Saccharomyces cerevisiae S288C: one gene and its partners. The gene in region 1 interacts genetically with each later gene. Each region holds a gene or a part of one and is shown on either strand. Other genes may lie near its edges.

Region 1 (3,455 bases):
CAAATTTACCTGGTGCTTACTTGTACCTGTCAAAAAAATTTCTACAAGATGTATGTAGGTACAGACAAGATCATGCTATTACATTAAGAGAATGGCAAAGAGGCGTAGTAAATAAGCCGAATGGTTGGTCATATCACGCAAAAGGTATTTGGCTTTCCGCTCGTGATAAAAATGATGCTAACAATTGGAAACCCTTTATCACGGTTATAGGATCTTCAAACTATACGAGAAGGGCGTATTCATTAGATTTGGAATCGAATGCTCTCATTATTACAAGAGATGAAGAGCTAAGAAAAAAAATGAAAGCAGAGTTAGATAATTTATTACAATATACAAAACCTGTAACTCTAGAAGACTTTCAATCAGACCCAGAAAGACATGTTGGCACTGGTGTAAAGATAGCTACCTCCATTTTGGGTAAAAAACTTTAGATTCTATTCTATCATAGTATGTCGCCTGTAAATATGGAAAAATAAAAGAAAAAATAGTAATAATAAATGCATTATCTAAAACTCCTTAAATTTGCAAACATCGCAAAGCCATTAAGGTAGAGAATGAGCTGACCTTGTTATAGTTTTCCTTTTGGCAACCGTGGTTTCCGTCCTACGTAAACATACTGAACTTGACAAAGTATGACCAATAAGGTGACAAATTGTATCAATTTTACCCAAAAGGGCGTTGAATTAAATGGTATCTCGTAAAACAATGCATTGGTCGGTATTACCAGTCTACCTAATAAATCGATAGATTCAGCCAAAAATGATATCAATGCAAACTTTGATGATAAACCTACTGTTGAGCATCCCATCCAGTTTATACTCATTTGAGGCACATACTTGAAACATTTAAGCAGATTTGCCATTACCCACAAATAATTTATGTGTTCCAAATAGAAAACGCCAAATTTACCTGAATTTTTCAACGGTAAATTAGAGATGGAACAGCCATATGTAAATATGCCTAATACAAGGAACACACTTATAATTATTATGGAAGTAATGGAAATGCCCTGATAAATATGTTTAGTTGACCTATAATAGTATAACTGCCTTAAAACCATCATGCAGCAACAGGAAACGCAAAAATCTTTTAGAATGAGGAAACTGGATATAGGTATACTACGGGCATCATTCAACGGATAAAAAAGTGGGAATCTTTGAGACAGTTGTTCCCTCACCAGAGATGAATAACAATAATGCAACGCGCAATACAAGTACAGACCATTACCAACAAAATCTAGCAGAAATAAATCATATGAAAGCCCGTAAATAGATCGATGAAGTTTATTATAGCGCTTTTGACATAGAATGGCGATGATCTATGTAAGAAATGGAAGTTTTCTCCCTTAGTTAGTCAAACCTTTCATGTATACTTTCTCCTTCAATTATGCATACTGATAAAAAACCTGCCAAGCCCTGCAGAACAATAACAAGCATGTGAATGATTCAATATAATTGCTTCGCAGGGCTCCTCAACCTCTCCTCTGGAAAACCTTACCTCAATGAGGTTAAAAATTGTGGGTTTTTCGTTCGCAGAGGAAAAAAAAACTTGTCAAAACACGCCTCTGCAGTAGAACACGAATTATACATAAGAAAAATAACGATACAAGAAAGGCGATTTCGATTTGGGACTAAGTGTTACACGAAAGGCATAGAGTATCAAAAAAAGGAAGCAAGATGGATTACGATAGCTCTGATACAATGAACGGTGGTTCAAGTAACCCCTTAATCACTAAGATGAATACAATGAAATTATTATATCAACACTATTTGGATAAAGTCACTCCTCACGCTAAGGAGAGGTGGGCTGTATTGGGTGGTTTGTTATGTTTGTTTATGGTTCGTATTACAATGGCCGAAGGCTGGTATGTGATTTGTTATGGTCTAGGTCTATTTTTATTGAATCAATTTTTAGCCTTTTTGACCCCAAAATTCGATATGTCCTTACAGCAAGATGAAGAAAACAACGAATTGGAAGCTGGAGAAAAATCAGAAGAATTCCGTCCATTCATCAGAAGATTACCAGAGTTCAAATTCTGGTATAACAGCATTAGAGCCACTGTCATTTCCCTCTTGTTGTCGCTATTTTCAATCTTCGATATTCCAGTATTTTGGCCCATCTTATTGATGTATTTCATATTATTGTTTTTTTTAACTATGAGAAGGCAGATTCAACATATGATAAAATATAGATATATACCCTTAGATATCGGTAAGAAGAAATATTCTCATTCTTCTAACTGATATACCCTGACTCCACATACCTATTCAACGAACACATTCGTATCTTAATTATATGTAAACAAAATTATATGATAGTTACAGAATAATTGTGATTATTTTCTCCTTCTACTCATCTTCTCTTATATTGGAAGAATACATGAAGTTATTGATTAAGCAAAATTGAAGGGAAGAGGCTCATTTTCTTCCATTTATAAATGGAGAGCTTGAGATGCCTCCAATTGATAAATTTTTGTAAAGACTTTCAAGAAACATGTCTAAAAAGAATTGACAGCTTCGAACCTTTCTGCATAATTACTAATACCAAATTAGTGAGAAATGGGGTATGTCGAGGAATAAAGGATGCAAAAGAGAGAGTAATGTCATGCAAGTTGTGAGTTTGAAATGTTCACACGTTTATAATGTCCATACTCCGTGGCGTGCATGTGTTTTAGTGTATTAGTTTTCCAAGTTATTAAAGAACTTAGTAAATTTATCATCGAACGCATTTTGATTAAGTGGCACAATAGACTTCAATGGAAAATGAAAATCATATCTGTAGCAAAAACGACAGCGAAGATAACGGTTACACAATTATCACGTTGATTCGTCAACTTAAAGATGACCTTTTTACAATTTATCAATAATAATAGACAAGAAGGACAAGGTTATATTTCAGAAAAATTATTCAAAACTAAGAAGAATGAGATGATAAGAAAAACAGTTACCAATTTAGTAGCTGTAAGATTAAAAAACTTATCCCACGAATTTGATGTAATAGAGAATTATCTGCGCTATATAGCTAGCACCAGTGAACATCTATTTACTGCTATTAAGCGCCACTTTAACAAATGTGCCAGAAAACTTTTGAAAGAAGCAATCGACTCCAAATCAAACTCAGAAACTGCTACGGTGGTTCTGCAAGAAGGATTTTCTGGCATTTGCTTATTGAAAGCGTCTTCAATTATATTAAAACTAAAATTGAAGTTTCCAAAAAAGAAAGATAGAACTGATATTAGCAAATTGTGTGACAAGAAAGAACGGATGACACAGTGGTTAGAAATTTCAATTTTGATGAACTGAGAATAATAATATTATGCTCCCCTGGATTTTATGCGAAGACACTGCTGAAAAAATTTCTGATATATGCAGAGAAGGAGCAAATAAGCCAGTTTTAAGGAACCGAGATAAGCTGTTTTCGCCCATTGTTCTAGTTCTACAAAATATCTACAGGGA
Region 2 (5,061 bases), on another chromosome or scaffold:
AAAGTAGCTTCATGCAAGTGGACGCGAAAATGTCCCCACACGATCGAAATTTCAAGCACAAGTATCCCTGCCCACAGTGTAATGATCCACAAGATAAATGTGACTTGGTGTAGTTCCCTATCAAATCGGAATATAAGGTTGATTTGCAAAGAAAAGAACCAAGATGAACAAAATTACTATGCCCTTCATTTCTGACTGAATATACTGTAAGATGGCCCTTTGGGGATACCAGTATCCAACACTTCTCATTGAAAAACGCTGCAAGGTAGTGATCATGTGAGGAACCACCATTGATGGGAAGCCTCTCAAACAAGGCCTTTTCCCAGATATACGTATCGTCTTCAAAACTGCTAAGGATTGCATTCATTCTGCATGTTATTAGAATTGCAGTACTCGTCATAAATGTAAATGTTAAATGATTTAATGTGGTATCCGCTAAAATAGGCTGCAAAAGTTCGATTCTTTCCATGTTATCAGACCCAAAGGCACCAGGCCCTTGGTATATTTTGTCTACCGTTTTACCATCAATGGTCTGTTTCGATGACAATGCATGTTTAATAAAATAAGTTTTCCATGGCGTAAAAACAAAATGACCAATATTGGTGACCGATTTGAGAAGTACTTGTGAGACCGTTGCTTCCTCCACAAATGTTAAATTGGTAGTTCTTTGCCACTTCGTTCCTTTGGCTGGTTTAGACTCGAATACACACACGCATGCTTCCAACTTATATGCAACCTCATTGTGTGCACGTGTGAGAATCGACAACGTAAAGACATCCTTATCTAAGAAATCATTGAAATTGATACACGCATCTATGGATACTATCGGTGAGGATGTCACATAACTCAGCTTAACGTCTGTTTCTTCCAAACAAAAAATGTCCTCAGTAGAAATCTCGTAAATTTCAGTGCATGACAAATTAAAAACCAGAGCTGTTCGTAGTGGATCTTGGAACATGAACTTTGGCTCTGATCTTACCTGATCAATTCCTGTTTCCAGAGATTTCACTATTTTGTAATCAAGGTTGACGAAGTCCAACCGTCCCGTGGCTTTCAACAGAATATAAAATCTTCGGTTAGGTGCAGTATGATCTTTGAAATAAAAGGCTGCCATTGTATATCCGACAGTCCTAAGTCTTAACTTCTTGCGCGCTTCATCTTGTTCTACCCCTTCAAACACATCTATATATTCTAGTCCTATGACCACCAATTCTCGGCTCTGTCCTTCGAGTCCATCTTCTTCCCTAATAAAACATTTAACTACATCCGGGGGACCATCAACCTCACTTACTATAATGTTGTCAGTCATCGCTATACGAATCCTCCCTGCTGGCATGAGAAATTGGATACGCCAAGCCCTGGGCAGCCTCCTCTTTGCATCGTTTCTCTTGCTTTCATCTTTCCACTATCCAATTACCCTGACTCTCGTTCCTGTCTATCATGAGTCTCTTGTCAAGCCAACAAGTGCTTCCTTTGGAGGTATACGATTGTCTCAACTTACTATGATTATGGAGAGGAGAGCAACGCCTACGTGTCAAGACCCATCGTTAACCGAGGTCTAGCTTTAACCTTGTATCTCCTAGCACTTTTAAATAAGGCAAAAAGGGAGTAGGGTCATATCTTTCTGGGACCCTTTTTTTGTGATTGCCCCAAATAAAGGAAAAAAATGGAGGTTACAGGATTTTTTGAAGAGTCAGGTATAACCGCCCATGTGGAACAGGTAGATAGATAAATATATTCGAAGGATTGCTAGATAGGGGCAAGTTTTTGCATGCATTTCTCGACTTTAAGCAGAAAAGTACATATTTTTAAGGGCATTGGTGAAATTTACCAGGTATATCTCTCGAATACTGCGGCTGATAGGTAAAGTAAAATAGGAAATGGTTTCTTTATTTGATAAGCTTAATGCAAAAAAAGACGGTAGAGATGGATCTGTGTCGAAGGAGTTGCTATCACATTCTGTAGCCCATACTAAGAACAGGTTACCCAAATCAGGAAGGCGCACGTCGGAACGGTCCTTAGCCGCTAGTGTAAAGGACGGAAGTTGCTCAAATAGCAAAAGCAATAAGCGGAACTCTTCGGCATCCGTGTCAGGGGAAGAAGATAAATCCTGTCTAATTTCACTTAATTGCCTATGTTGTGGTGTCCCACTACGGTTTCCAGCCTCCATAACGAAATTTCGATGCAGCGCATGCCAAGTAACAGTTATTGTAAAGGAGCCGGAAATTAACAGTAATTTGGAATCTAGTACGCATATTTCGTGCACATTAGAGGGTTTGCAGATGGTAGTAAGGCGGTGCCATGATGATTTGCAGCGGCTTAAGAAGACTGGGATTCTGGATAAAGAAAGAAAGGGGTTGATTTTCCAACCGGTAATAACGTATTTACTGGACAGATTTCATGATGTTAGCATTTTAAACAGGTCGTTCTTGGTACATGATGGTGGAAAGAATATAAAGATGCTGAATTATGAAGTTTTACAAAGATTTTACAGTATATTATCAAATCTTCCTACAAGGAAACCGTATTATAGTATGCTGTGTTGCTGTAACGATCTACTGAAGAGAATAACAATCAATAAAGGGGAAAATTTGCAAATATTACAGTATCGTTGGTTGCTGATTATATTAAATATACCTACAATACGAACCTGCCTTATTAGAGATCGGAAGAGCAAAAATGTGTTTGAGACCCAACAAATAAGGGCGGTGTCTTATGAGTTGGCCAAACGATGTATTGGCTACTTGTCTAACCTATCAACAAAAACATCTCAACAATTGATTCAATCATTACGGCGAACGCCTACGGATAATTTTTCATACCAGGTAGAGATTTTAAATTTATACATCAATTTCCAATTTTCCAGATTACTGTCGAACGAATTATCAAATAGAACCGCAAAAAATAACGTGAAGCCTGAAGATGAGATGCGATCTCGTCTTCGTCGGCATCACACTACTGGCCATGAATTCCTGAGTACTAGACCAATAAGTGCACAATCAAATGATAAACAGGGAAGTGGTTTCACGCATCCCGTCAATAATAAGATGAAATTTAAATTTTTTCAATATGAGGAAGACTGGCATATTCACTCTGCAGCAAAATTGACGTTCATCTATTATGTAGCCAATACTAGAAGAAATGGCCGTGGAGCGTTGTCAATTCAAAGCTTTTACAATATAACGCTAGACTTCATAGATTATAAACAAGATTTCGATCATTGGAGAGGAGTAGCTCAAAAGACAAAAATGAATCAACTGATTGAAGAGTGGGGAAATTCGACGACAAAAAAATGTTTTTCATTCTGTAAGTATCCATTTATATTGTCACTCGGCATCAAAATCTCTATTATGGAGTATGAAATTCGCAGAATCATGGAACATGAAGCTGAACAGGCTTTTTTAATTTCACTGGATAAAGGCAAATCCGTAGACGTTTATTTCAAAATCAAAGTACGGCGTGACGTTATTTCTCATGATTCATTGAGATGTATCAAGGAACATCAAGGCGATTTATTAAAATCGCTGAGAATAGAGTTTGTTAATGAACCTGGAATTGATGCGGGAGGGTTGAGAAAAGAATGGTTTTTCTTATTAACAAAATCGCTGTTTAATCCGATGAATGGCTTATTTATTTACATAAAAGAAAGCTCACGTTCATGGTTTGCCATTGACCCTCCAAATTTTGACAAATCAAAAGGAAAAAACTCACAACTGGAATTATATTACTTGTTTGGAGTTGTCATGGGGTTGGCGATTTTCAACAGTACCATATTAGATTTACAATTTCCAAAGGCGCTTTATAAAAAACTATGCTCAGAGCCTCTGAGTTTTGAAGATTACTCGGAATTGTTTCCGGAGACAAGTAGGAACTTAATAAAAATGCTCAATTACACAGAGGATAATTTCGAAGACGTCTTTTCTTTAACATTTGAGACTACGTATCGAAATAACAACTGGATTTTAAATGACAGTAAATCGAGCAAAGAGTATGTAACGGTAGAATTATGTGAAAATGGCAGAAATGTGCCAATAACCCAAAGTAACAAGCATGAGTTTGTCATGAAATGGGTAGAATTTTATCTGGAAAAGTCCATTGAGCCACAATACAATAAATTTGTTTCAGGTTTTAAAAGGGTCTTCGCAGAATGCAATTCTATAAAATTATTTAATTCTGAAGAGCTGGAGAGATTAGTGTGTGGTGATGAGGAACAAACTAAATTTGATTTCAAATCGTTAAGATCCGTGACAAAGTATGTAGGTGGCTTCTCCGATGATTCCAGAGCGGTTTGCTGGTTTTGGGAAATTATTGAAAGTTGGGACTATCCATTGCAGAAGAAATTATTACAATTCGTAACGGCATCTGATCGTATACCTGCAACGGGTATCTCTACTATCCCATTCAAAATTAGCTTGCTAGGGTCGCATGATAGTGATGATTTGCCATTGGCTCATACATGTTTTAATGAAATATGTTTATGGAATTATTCCTCGAAAAAAAAACTAGAACTGAAATTACTTTGGGCAATTAATGAATCTGAAGGTTACGGGTTCCGCTAAGAGTCTTCAGAATATACATATACACATAACACATACATATTTTTTATAGATATTTCTATGGGTAAAGTTACGTCAAGGGTACTCTGTCCATTCTAAGTTTTCATGAAGCATTGTTATTCCTAAATTCTTCATCAAGCACCCACCCTTTACGCTCTTTATCAAACTGTGCTATGGTTTTTAATAATGCTCTAACCTTAATAACGTCTTCTTTATCAGAAAGACTGACGCCAATGCTGTTAAGTATGCTAACACTAGATGAGAAAAAGTTATTCTGTTTCTGTAAATATGCCCGAATATTTTCTAGCGTTTTGGTATTGGAATTGATTTCCTTGGATCTTGCGAAGGTTATACCATCGTCGTAATTTTCTTGGCGAGCTTCCTTGGATGCCTCTTTTTGTGATTTTGTAATATTGCCTAAAATGGCAGCTGATCCAGTTAATTTATTTTTCAACGGATCTCTCTTTCTAATTTTACCTGCTTTACCAAACCTACCTGTCCAAGT
Region 3 (4,329 bases), on another chromosome or scaffold:
CAATATTCACGTAGAATAGTGGATGACAGAGTATATAAACAAAGAAAGAAGCACTCAGGATTTTCTATAAATAGTGAAGTTTTCTATGGACGCCAAAAAATCTTAAGGGTATCTTGAGTGTAATCATCATTGGAAGGATTATTATCTTTCACGAGTAAAATACTATTAATAACTAGTAATTTCCGTGAAGTCATTAAAATGAACAAAACGATAAAACGGTTTCTTATTGCTAATGTGCTGATTTTTTGCCAAAAGGTAAAATCTAAAAATATCAATTGCATACCTTCACATTTGGTATATTACCATATAATAGCAAGATGACATAAATCGGTGAGGAGCAGTTACCAAATTCCATGGAAGATGAAAAACAGGGTTGATAATATAATAAACTGTTGGAACGAGAGTAATTAATAGTGACATGAGTTGCTATGGTAACAATCTAATGCTTACATCGTATATTAATGTACAACTCGTATACGTTTAAGTGTGATTGCGCCTATTGCAGAAGGAATGTTAAACGAGAAGCTCAGACAATACTGAAGCTGTGTTAAAGACCTATTAGTTGAACATGTTATGGTAGGTACATATATGAGGAATATGAGTCGTCACATCAATGTATAGTAACTACCGGAATCACTATTATATTGGTCATAATTAATATGACCAATCGGCGTGTGTTTTATATACCTCTCTTATTTAGTATAAGAAGATCAGTACTCACTTCTTCATTAATACTAATTTTTAACCTCTAATTATCAACATAAACAATGGAAGAAAAATAATAATATTACCAAGCAAAATTATTGTCCTTGTGGATTTCGATATTTTCAACAGGTACCTTAGTAGAGCTGAAGTTTTTTCAAATTAAACATTTATGTGGTAGTCATATATATGTGTCATGCGAGTCTTTACATTAAATATATGGTAACCACCAGAGAACTTGTTATATTAGTCACGATTAATAATGTTGGAATAAAAATCCACTACCGTCTATCAACTAGTAGTTATATTATCAATATATTATCATAGACGGTGTTAGATGATGATATAAATTATGAGAAGCTGTCATCAAAGTTAGAAGAAGCTGAAATGCAAAGATTGATAATATGATAGGATAATGAAACATATAAAATAGAAAGAGGGATAATCGTAATATTAGTATGTAAAAATATACATTCCATTTTGAGGATTCCTATGTCCTCGTGGAGAACTTTTAGTATATTCTGTTTACCTAATATTATAATCTTTTATCAACAATGGAATCCCAACAATTATCTCAAAATTCACCTATATCTCAAATAATAAACCGATCGGACTGCGTTCAGTGAACCTCTCTTATATAGTATAGGAAGATCCAAATTTATTATTCGCTGATATGACCTTTTGACCTTTACATATTAACGAGGTGCTTTTACCAATGCATAGACGAGCAGCTTATCCCATAATGAGTTTAAATTCTATTCAACTCATAACAACTTATAGTTGCTATAGTCACACCTTTTCAACAGATAAGTGGTTGTTTGGCCGAGCGGTCTAAGGCGCCTGATTCAAGAAATATCTTGACCGCAGTTAACTGTGGGAATACTCAGGTATCGTAAGATGCAAGAGTTCGAATCTCTTAGCAACCATTATTTTTTTCTCGCGTATTCCTTTGAGGGCGCCCCTTTATGTTGAAATATTGAGAAGCTACGAATCAAACTTTGAAGTCAGTTGAGTAAGCAATATGAAAAACATTGGAAAATACAATAAAACACAATTACGAAAACTATATTGTTTTGAACAGAAAAATAGAAGGAAGTACTAAAATTACTCTTTCACCACACAACAATTTTAACTCAAGAAGATAATCACTGCTTACTTTTATATTTTATAGACAATTTGCACTTTGGGGTATTTTTCTTAATTTTATCTGGGTTTTTTTCTTCTTTTTACAAAGAAACTATGCTAAGAATATGAACTCTTCCACTTCTTCAGAAAATGTGTTCATAAATTCATTTAGCTATTTGAATCAAACATCACAAGCCGTAATCTCAGGTAACTCCACTTTCGCAAATGTTATCAACTTTCCTTATAGACTTGGATTATCCTTTATTGGGGCTGTGAACTTGCAGTACGAGCAAACCGTTAAATCTGAAGAAATTCCCCCAACTCTAAGGTCTGTTTTTGATACAATAGGGTTTTTTTTCAGCCCGTACGCCATATTTTGCTTTGTAATCGCCATTGTCCTGAACCGGTTCGTTGTATTTTACGCCGTCCTTAACAACGGTTCCAGACGTACTTTACCGTTATGGTTGAGTAATGTTTTCCATGTATCAGCAGTAGTTGTATTAGCAATGGTATCCTTAGGTCCGCTGACCTTGGGTAAGGATTTCAAAATATTAGGCGACCCTGCTTTTGCCCAAGAAAAATTTTTACTGAATATATTCTACGCTTTCGCTTACTCTTATTGTGTCGAAACCATATTTACCATCATGCGGAATTCCAGCCCTTTGGAGGGCACTGACTATTCATTGTTTGAACTTTCGATTCAGTTTTATACAATGACTAATAATAATACTAAATTTTTAGATTCTCCTGATTACATTATAGACTGTTCTATGGCTATTTTGAGCAGGATATTGATCCATTTGGTGGAGATTTTCAGGCTTAGAAATTATCGTCTACTTTTTAGTACTATTATGAACCTCTGTCATATTTGTTACTTAGGGATAAGAGTTAAGCAGGGCGGCTGGAAAAGCCTTCCATTTTCGGTGAAATTTAGGCACTTTCCAAAACTGTTTTCAGTGTCTATTATTTGCTTATCATTACTGATTTTTAAATTATCATGCTTAATTAGATGGGATCCATTTGGAAAATCACGTAATTCTTGCGAACTTTTACAGTTTTACCCTCTCAGTAGAAATTGGAAAAAATACTTAAATTACACGGGAGAAGAAGATTTTTCTGCTATGGCCACTAAATTCGCACTATTATTATGCTCAGGAACTGAACTAATGGAAAAGGGTATACGAAGAGAATTTCCTGCTATTAACATCCCGGATAATGTTAATGAGAAATTTTTTATTAGCGGTTATTTAAATGAACTTTCTAAACCGTATAAAGAGAACACTTCCATCAGCTTCCCAAAGAAAAATTCATCAATATTAAAGCAAAGATTTTTTTTAATGTTTCCAAAATCTATAATATGGATCATGAAGAAGCTTGTAGGCCAAGTATTCTTTGGCTTCAGAGATAACAAGGACGAGGACATCCCCGACAACGACCCATCAAAAATGTTAAAGATAACTAAAACGAACTCTCTCAATAATAGTGCCGGCCACAAAGAAGATATTGAACTTGAACTATTGAACACATCAGATGATGAGTATTCTGAAGATTACGAGCCTTCTGAAGTTGAGTCACTGGGGGATTCTGATGAAGAAAACTTGGAAGAAGATTCACTGATTTTCAACGAAACTCGGGATGCCCTACTGGATTTATTTTCTTCCGAAGATAATGAAGTTCATACTGATTATAATTGGATCATGTCAACTAGCCGTATCCTTCAACAAAAATTACTGTCAGATAAAACTTTGACAAGGGCGTCTATCTTAGATACAAAGTTAAGTGAAGTAGATGAGACTTTTGGTACAGAAAGTGATTTTGATCTATCTTGCGCGGTATGCAAAGTCAATGAAAGAAATACAGTATTATGGCCCTGCCGATGTTTTGCCATTTGCGAGGATTGCAGAATTTCTTTGGGTTTACGTGGGTTCAGCACTTGCGTATGTTGTAGGAGTAAAGTTCATGGGTACTGTAAGGTTCATCCTGTTTCAGATAGTAAATAATAGTTTAAGAACTTTTGCATGGTATCTAAAAGAGGTTTTTCGTTTGGGAGCTCTAGCATTAATTACTATAGCTAGAGCTTTCTGTGTTGCACATATAAACATCATAATAATAAATCAAGTTTTTTTTCTTTGGGAAATGTTCGAATTAAAATTGTACTTATAACATATCGTATCATTAGTATATATATAAAAGTGTCAGTGGCGATTATATCATTAGAGGAGGAAAGAATAAACTATACATCGATTTGCCGTCATTTCTGTATTTATGGCATATTGACTCTGAACTCATGCCATCTAATGGTGGAACAAACGGATTGGGTTCTCTACGTAAACCAAATCGAATGAATCGGCAGCTGAAAATACAACCTTGTCCATGACAGAACCAGATGGAGCGGCAATGTATTTGACACCGGATTTAACTGCTCTGTAAACATTGTCTGGGAATGGGAAAAATGCATCCGATGACAAAGAAACGTTGGTTAATTTACTCAACCATTCCTTT

What was found.
Region 2: mutations in YCL002C (region 1) and HUL4 together harm fitness more than expected from each alone (negative genetic interaction), as found in Saccharomyces cerevisiae (2 studies listed by BioGRID).
Region 3: mutations in YCL002C (region 1) and ASI1 together harm fitness more than expected from each alone (negative genetic interaction), as found in Saccharomyces cerevisiae (2 studies listed by BioGRID).

What each region holds. Positions count from the first base shown.
Region 1 is NC_001135.5:110,240-113,694, forward strand, and holds YCL002C (uncharacterized protein), read right to left. Parts: upstream 1,437-3,455; coding exon 1,395-1,436; intron 1,319-1,394; coding exon 569-1,318; downstream 1-568. Other genes in the region: PGS1 (CDP-diacylglycerol--glycerol-3-phosphate 3-phosphatidyltransferase), read left to right, coding at 1-431; RER1 (protein retrieval receptor), read left to right, coding at 1,677-2,243; YCL001W-A (uncharacterized protein), read left to right, coding at 2,841-3,302.
Region 2 is NC_001142.9:500,211-505,271, reverse strand, and holds HUL4 (putative E3 ubiquitin-protein ligase HUL4), read left to right. Parts: upstream 1-1,880; coding exon 1,881-4,559; downstream 4,560-5,061. Other genes in the region: MLO127 (Mlo127p), read right to left, coding at 1-1,336; DNA-dependent ATPase RAD26, read right to left, coding at 4,660-5,061.
Region 3 is NC_001145.3:503,381-507,709, forward strand, and holds ASI1 (putative ubiquitin-protein ligase ASI1), read left to right. Parts: upstream 1-1,952; coding exon 1,953-3,827; downstream 3,828-4,329. Other genes in the region: bifunctional phosphoribosylaminoimidazolecarboxamide formyltransferase/IMP cyclohydrolase ADE17, read right to left, coding at 4,122-4,329. UniProt on the Saccharomyces cerevisiae protein: E3 ubiquitin-protein ligase which transfers ubiquitin to substrates promoting their degradation.